Linked DNA regions of Oryzias latipes. The protein of the gene in region 2 purifies or fractionates together with the protein of the main gene of each other region. This does not show direct contact. Links are inferred from orthologs where the notes say so. Each region holds a gene or a part of one and is shown on either strand. Other genes may lie near its edges.

Region 1 (4,028 bases), on a different chromosome or scaffold from region 2:
TTATTAAGTTGATGGATAAGCTGGATAATCACTAGTGATTATGCACCCAGTATTGATCAATGAATGTAGCCTAAAAACAATTTCAGAACAAATCACAACAATAAAAATAGATACGTTTCCTGTTTTAGATTAACGCACACAGCTCAGTGGAAGACTGACTTCAGATCACTTGCTGTCCCAGGATTTCTTCAAGCCAGGCTCAATGTGGACGGCTCACCAAGAGACACCTTCATCCAAATGACTGTAAATAAAGCTGTCGGATTATTTGTGTGGTCAATTGTGCCTTTTTATGCTAGTTTAGGGATTTTAACAGTGTTTGTTCACAGGGTTGGGGTAAAGGTGTTGTATTCGTTAATGGACAGAATCTCGGCCGTTACTGGTTTATTGGTCCTCAACGTTTCCTTTACCTCCCTGGACACTGGCTCAGGAGCGGAGAGAATCAGGTTACACGATCTATAAAAACTATACTGGTTTTAGTATTGTCTCCCTGTACAATTTGACTTTTAATTGTCTGTTTTTTTGTGTGTTTTTTTTTTTTTTTTGGTTTCAGATTATTCTTTTCGAGGAGCAAAGAACCAATGGGGAAGTAGTTTTTACTGAGAATGCAGATCATGGAAAGACTATCGATGTTTATAAACTGCCCTTCTGCACACTGCTGTAAAAATGTGTTCAAACCACACAGCTTTAAGCTGTTTGTGTGCACATGTAACATTCGGTGGACTTTTTTTTTGCTCTTCTAATTTGCCCAATTGTTTTAGGAATTAACTTTTAAATGTTGCAAAATCACAACTTCTTTCAAAATAATGAGATATTCTAATTTTTGTTAGTTAGTTAGTTAGTTAGTTAGTTAGTTAGTTAGTTAGTTAGTTAGTTAGTTAGTTAGTTAGTTAGTTAGTTAGATAAAGTTACAGGCGTTGCTAGACACCTCAGCTTCCTGTTGGACGAAGCGCCTGTCATCTAAATATGGACCGTGGATGACCACAGCGGAAAACCTGAACATCCTTTCACAATAAACAAATAAAAGTTGAAAAACTGTTTATAGTTGTGAAATTCGTCATTTTAAATGAAAGAAAAATGACATAGTTAACTATAGTTCTGAAAAACAAATACTATTACTTTGTGTTTCTAACTGCACTGCACGCGTATAACGATTTTTTCTGTGAACGTAAGTTTATTTTGAAATTATTTTTTTGGAAAGGGGCTTTGTGCCTGCAGCTAGCTTACCATTCAAAAAGGAAATGACACCCATATAGCTGCCACGGGAGGAGCGAAGGGTCATAGTTTACCCTGTGTCTTTTTACTTAGGAGAATGTCGTATAGAAATTCAATCTCGTAACTAAATACTGAATTTGCATGACAAAAAATCCAGCTATACCTGGAATCAAAAGCGGTTTTGTATCATGTTAGCATAGTCTGACTGACTGAGCAAACCGTTCAGTGCACCGACCGGGGGGGAGAAACTAAGGTTTATCCTTGAGGTAATTCAAAGTTTCTCGGTTTACACCTTTACACTGAGAGGCTTTTGCTTCCCCATCGACACATGGAGTCGCTCGGAGCTGTTGGCGCTGTTCTCGGATGCTCTGCTTGTTGCATCCCGGTGGTCGCGCTGCTGCTCGCCGCCTACAAACTTGGCTTATTTTACCAGCTGTTTCACCAGGTGGGTGTTCGTCTAAAATGAAAACGCATTGTTTTTACTCCACGCGTGATCGCTTTGCGGATCAGATCTGCCAGCTGACCCGGGTAAAAGGGTAAATCGAGCTCCACTGACTGACTCGGGTAAACTTTGACCAGCCTTGTGGTTTTCTCGAACAAAGGCCATCACAGCCAAGCTGTCGGGGAGATTGCACAAAAGCATGGAAGCTGCATGTGTGCACACTGTTGGGAAATGGAATTGGAGAGATAAGCCTCCAGAGAATGATAACTAAAGCATCTTTCTTTGATGCAGAAGTCCTGCTTGCACGACCTCTTTTGGGTCAAATTGCATTTATTAAAAAATAAATAAAAAACACAGATTTGTGGGATAAATGTCCTAATCTCTTCCAATCACAGCTTGCTCTGCCACCGACTTGTGATTAAGGAATCAGACCATGTTGGCAATCTAACCACATTCAGCACCTGCAGAAGGACGTGAAGAACCGGACCCAGTGCTCCTCACGCCGGTCCCTGGCTCCGTCGCACGCCGCTGCGGGACGCCAGTCCATCCTCCAACAAGCTTTTGCTGCAAGTCGGCCAATGTGGTTAGGCTGGTCTGGTGGCACAAACACGCCAAATCGGATACCTCAAGTGATCTGTCACCTCTTGCCAAACAGGAGTTCATGTTTTACTTCGAAGCCCATCGAGACGACTGTTGTTGTGATTTTGGGCTATACAAATAAAATTGAATTGAATTGAAACACTTGAGGGAAACTCAAAATAAGTCAATAATAACAACAACAACAATAAAATACAGTTGGACTTTGGCTGAAAGATTTAGGCAAATCTTTCATGGGTGCCTGATCGGCTCTGCTGCTCCTCCGACAAATCCATCCCCCAACAGATGTGGCGAAAAGAGGCTACACACTGCAACACAACACTACTGAACACATAGTTTCCTAGTTTATAGACAGCTGAAGTATTTGAAGAGAAACACTTACCTGACAAGCACAGCGTTTGGTTAAATAGCGGTTCTTTTCTAACATGTTCTTGTGGCATATTTCTGATCATGGAAGAAAATTGAGCTTAAATTTGCGTGTTTGTTTGTTTGTTTGTTTGTTTGTTTGTTGTGAATCGGGAGCAGACAAAAAAAAGCTCAACTTTTCAAGAAAGGGGGGAAAAAAGGGTTAATTTCTTATAAACACCTGTCGCTCTGCAGAAATTAGGTCCAAGTTTTACAATTTATCCTAAAACAAACAGCATAATTGTTCAAAGGCTGCATGGAATGCTTTAAAAAGAATGAAAAGATGATTGGAGTGGAACTTTAAACCTGTACAGACATTAAAAACGGTTGGAAAATTGATATATTTTTTAAACACTTTTCCCCCTTGTTCTCTTTATCTCATTGCAGACGGAGACCGAGAGCCCCCGCCATGGCGGTGAGAGCGTGGCAGAGGTCCTCCGTGCTCACGGGGTCAAGTTCCTCTTCACCCTGGTGGGCGGGCACATTTCCCCGATCCTCGTGGCTTGCGAGAAGGTCGGCATCCGTATCGTGGACACCAGACACGAAGCCACGGCGGTCTTTGCCGCAGACGCCGTGGCGCGGCTCTCAGGTGCAGGCTGACGTTTTACCCCGGGGCTTCAAATCCCAGCCGAACTTTCCACATTTCTTACATTTTGTTTTGTTTTTTTCCCTCTGGAGTTCAACGTGGTTGTGTGGCTCTCTGTACCAGGTACTGTGGGGGTAGCAACTGTAACCGCCGGCCCGGGCCTGACGAACACGGTGACGGCGGTAAAGAACGCCCAAATGGCTGAATCTCCTGTGCTGCTCTTGGGAGGAGGTGCTGCTACACTACTGCAGGTAGGTGAACGCAGATGGAAATGGGATGCGAACTCTCTGGTAGGTGCTACGCACATTTAAATGATCAATCCTTTGCACGGCAGGGAAGGGGGGCACTGCAAGACATCGACCAGATGTCTCTCTTCAAGCCGCTGTGTAAATTCTGTGCCTCCATCAGGACGGTGAGGGAAATAGTGCCGACTCTCAGAAAAGCCCTGGCCATTGCCCAGTCAGGAACGCCCGGCCCCGTTTTTGTAGAGTTCCCCATCGACACCCTGTACCCCTATCACCTTGTGTCCAAAGAGTTTGCACCGAAAACCCCCCCTAAAGGCCTGATGGGAAGTATCATTTCATGGTATGTTATTAGAGTGCAGTTCTGTTGTCATGAAATAACAATCATTGTCTGTCAAACTGATGTATAGTTGTCGTTTTTTGTTTTATTTTAATGTTTTCTGGTCTGATCACCTGCAAGGTATCTCCGAAATCACCTGAAGAACCTCTTTGCTGGAGCCTGGGAGGCCAGAGATGTCTGTCCTCTTTCTGTCCACGTCCCTCA
Region 2 (3,148 bases):
GGTTTGATCTTTTAAGTCAAAACCTTAAATAAAAAATGATCTTTATTTGGCTTTTATATTTGAATTGGTGCTTATTAGGTTGCAGTTTAGGTGTATGTGGGTTATTTTAGATTGTGCTAAAACGTATCTCAAAAGGTAAATAGGGCTTTTGCCATTTTTTCAGGGAGTTCAAATCTACAATCCCAAAATCAAGTGCTCCAGAAATTTCCCAGAAGTCTCTGCGAAAACCAGTGTGCATCGATGCTCACTAGATTAGGGAATATAGACCACAATGCATTGAGTTTGAACAATTTGAAAACAATTTAATTACATTTATTGGTTTATAAATTATTGAAGTTTTCATCATCAGAACACTGGATTCATAAATAGTCTCTGTAAAATGTTCATATTTATAGGTTTTTACTTCAGAAAAATGTTGTTGTGTTTTCCCGTTTGAAAAAAAAGTAGTGAGCATGTGTCTGAATTGCTGTAAAATCCAGGGCACTATGTAGTCTCTTAGTAGTTAGGGAGTTGTGAGGAAATTCAAACATAATCTTTGTGGTTTGATGAACCTGCCTGATGCTGCTCCAGAGTGTTTTTTTTTTTTTTTTTTTTTTTTTATACACTGTATTTTATCCCATGAAGGGAAATTCTTTCTCCGCATTTGACCCATCCCCTTGGGGAGCGGTGAGCTGCAGCCGAAACCGCGCTCGGGAGGCAGTAGCGTTAAGGGCCTTGCCTAAGGACCCTCACTGGGTGATGTTAACTGCTCGCCATTGATATGATAATTGCCCCCAGTACCATTGCTCATTCCCCTCCGGGAATCGGACCCTGGTTTCCTGCGTGGTAGCTTCCCACCTTACCAACCGAGCTACCCAGCCGCTAGATTGCCAGTCATTCATCATTCACTGATCATGCAACCTCCAAAAAAAAATACTTTTTTTTTTCTCAGTGTGACAATGCCGGGATTCACAGCATGTAATTATAAAATAACGGTTCAGGAGAGATTAGGGATCATTTCCACACTTCAGTTGGTCACGACAGAGCCCATGACTTAACCTCTTTGAAAATCACTGAGATGTGCTGAAAAGACTTTACTCAGCATTTCACTGTCACGATGAAATATTCCACCCCAAAATTACAGGAAAGACATTTACTAGCATTTTTTAAGTTTACTAAAACAATGTGAATGCTTCGATAACCAGAACCACAGGTAGCCAGGCAGAATTTCAGTATTTCCATTTTCTTTTGGTCAAGCTTTGCAGCTGAAAGACTAGAACTGACTTCCTTGTTTGTCTTTTCATGCCATCTTTAGGCAAGTACTACAACTATGACAGCAGTGGGAGATATCATTCCAACAGTGTCATGTCAGACCAGTGTGCAGGTCATTGGTTCCTTAAAGCATCAGCCTGTGGGGAAGAAGACTATCAGGCAAGTTAAACATAAAAGATACAATCTTTTCCACCTATAAACAAACATGATTGCCTTTTAAGGTCTATGTAAAAAGATGAGGGAATCCTATAGACATTAAAAACTCATCAGAATTTATCTACAACTTGTTCAGATGTGTTTAAGAGTAAACGTTGACCTTGCTTGTCCACACAGGCTTTTCCCAAAGAAAAGATTCAGAGTACACTGAAATCCATCTTTGACTTGAATGTGATGGCTTTTGCTGGGGGCCAAATGGGTGCAGTCAATGGCATGCGCCCTGAAGGAGTGCCTGACCGCTCCAGTGTCCAGTCTGATGAGGTTTGGATCGGTGTTGTGTACGGGCTGGCAGCGACTATGATCCATGAGGTCAGTAAGAGAGACGAAATCTTCATCAGAGGATTTCTTTTATTTATTTGCTCTCTGCATAGACTTCCTACTGAAAGCTCAACCTTGGTTATTTGGACAGATGCCTTCAGTGAAGTGTTCTAGCCACTTGATTATAAGGAAAATTGTAATTAAATTGTAGCTATTTTTTGTTTTTCTCATTTAGGGCATGCGAGAGGAGGGGATGCACACAGCTGAGGGTTGCTACCGGACAGTATGGGAGAGGCTGGGTATGGCCTTCCAGACTCCTGAAGCCTATTGTGAGAAGAACATCTACCGTTCTCTGGCTTACATGAGGCCTCTTAGTATCTGGGCCATGCAGCTTGCTCTAAACATGACACAAAAGGATCAGGCCCCAACAACTGGAGATTCGGATGAGGTTGGAACATGAAATCGGATTATTCTGATGTAGCACAGATGAACCTCTCTTGCAGCCACCTCCTCTCATCTGGACACTGCAACTCCTTGTTTTGACTGGTTATCTAGAACCATGGTGTTTGTATGTGTCATTTTTTAAGGACACTTTTTGAGAAGACTGCACATCCATTTGCACTGTTGGCTGTCAAGCCAGGCATTCAGAAAAAACACTGCATGAATGAAAGGCTAGAAGACCAAGTATTGGCTTCCATTGTATTGTTTTGCCAATTGCATTACCATACCTGCAACATGTTGATATATTATATATTTCTTCTTTTATTTTCAAGTTGCTTAAATAATCAATAATGTGTTGGAAGAATTTTGTACCTTGTTGCATGCAAACCTTTACATAAATAATATAAAATATTTCTGATGATTAAAGTGAATAAATTATGTAAAGGATAATAAAGCATGTTTGTTGTATTGTTTCATACATATTAGTCACTGGGACACCAACTACTGAGCTATTTCTTGTAATTTTTTGTTAGAGGATTGTGATTATTTTGAGTTAAATGATGAATTACTCTTACATTGAGGTGTTTCACTTTCAGATGCAGTGTTACTTCTGGCTTTTTAAAAGAGTTTGTGTTACATGTTACAGTGTTAATGAATAGTCAGTCAAGAATTAATTAACCAATCAGTGAGGAGCATTCATAGCTACCTGCACATGCATCTGGGAGCTGACATTGAAAAAGGCCAGAAAGCGATAAGAGAACGTCCATGTCTGGCGTAAAGTTAAGTTGGACTTCAATAGTTTCATTTTTCACATGTTACTTGAAAATTACAAATGTTTATAAAGTTATGAATTATCATTGGTAGACTCTTAAGCACCAACAAGTTAGCATCGCGCTTCCTTAAAAAGTGTAGTAGTTAATTTTTTCCATTGAAGTTTCTAAATAGGTGCTTTAATCAATTCAGACTATGCAGACTAACAGTT

The links. Proteins that work in one complex are often made in the same cells at the same time.
Region 1: the proteins of gba2 (region 2) and ilvbl purify together in Homo sapiens (co-immunoprecipitation; 3 studies listed by BioGRID and IntAct, counting the BioPlex papers as one, with this or other methods). This does not show direct contact. The link is inferred for Oryzias latipes from reciprocal best matches to the Homo sapiens genes GBA2 and HACL2.

What each region holds. Positions count from the first base shown.
Region 1 is NC_019871.2:28,730,208-28,734,235, forward strand, and holds the start of ilvbl (acetolactate synthase-like protein), read left to right. Parts: upstream 1-1,224; 5' UTR 1,225-1,540; coding exon 1,541-1,657; intron 1,658-3,043; coding exon 3,044-3,245; intron 3,246-3,365; coding exon 3,366-3,493; intron 3,494-3,576; coding exon 3,577-3,827; intron 3,828-3,944; coding exon 3,945-4,028. Other genes in the region: beta-galactosidase-1-like protein 2, read left to right, coding at 129-243, 327-443, 551-661. UniProt on the Homo sapiens protein: Endoplasmic reticulum 2-OH acyl-CoA lyase involved in the cleavage (C1 removal) reaction in the fatty acid alpha-oxydation in a thiamine pyrophosphate (TPP)-dependent manner. Involved in the phytosphingosine degradation pathway.
Region 2 is NC_019876.2:18,564,308-18,567,455, forward strand, and holds the end of gba2 (non-lysosomal glucosylceramidase), read left to right. Parts: intron 1-1,294; coding exon 1,295-1,410; intron 1,411-1,584; coding exon 1,585-1,776; intron 1,777-1,960; coding exon 1,961-2,185; 3' UTR 2,186-2,644; downstream 2,645-3,148. UniProt on the Homo sapiens protein: Non-lysosomal glucosylceramidase that catalyzes the hydrolysis of glucosylceramides/GlcCers (such as beta-D-glucosyl-(1<->1')-N-acylsphing-4-enine) to free glucose and ceramides (such as N-acylsphing-4-enine).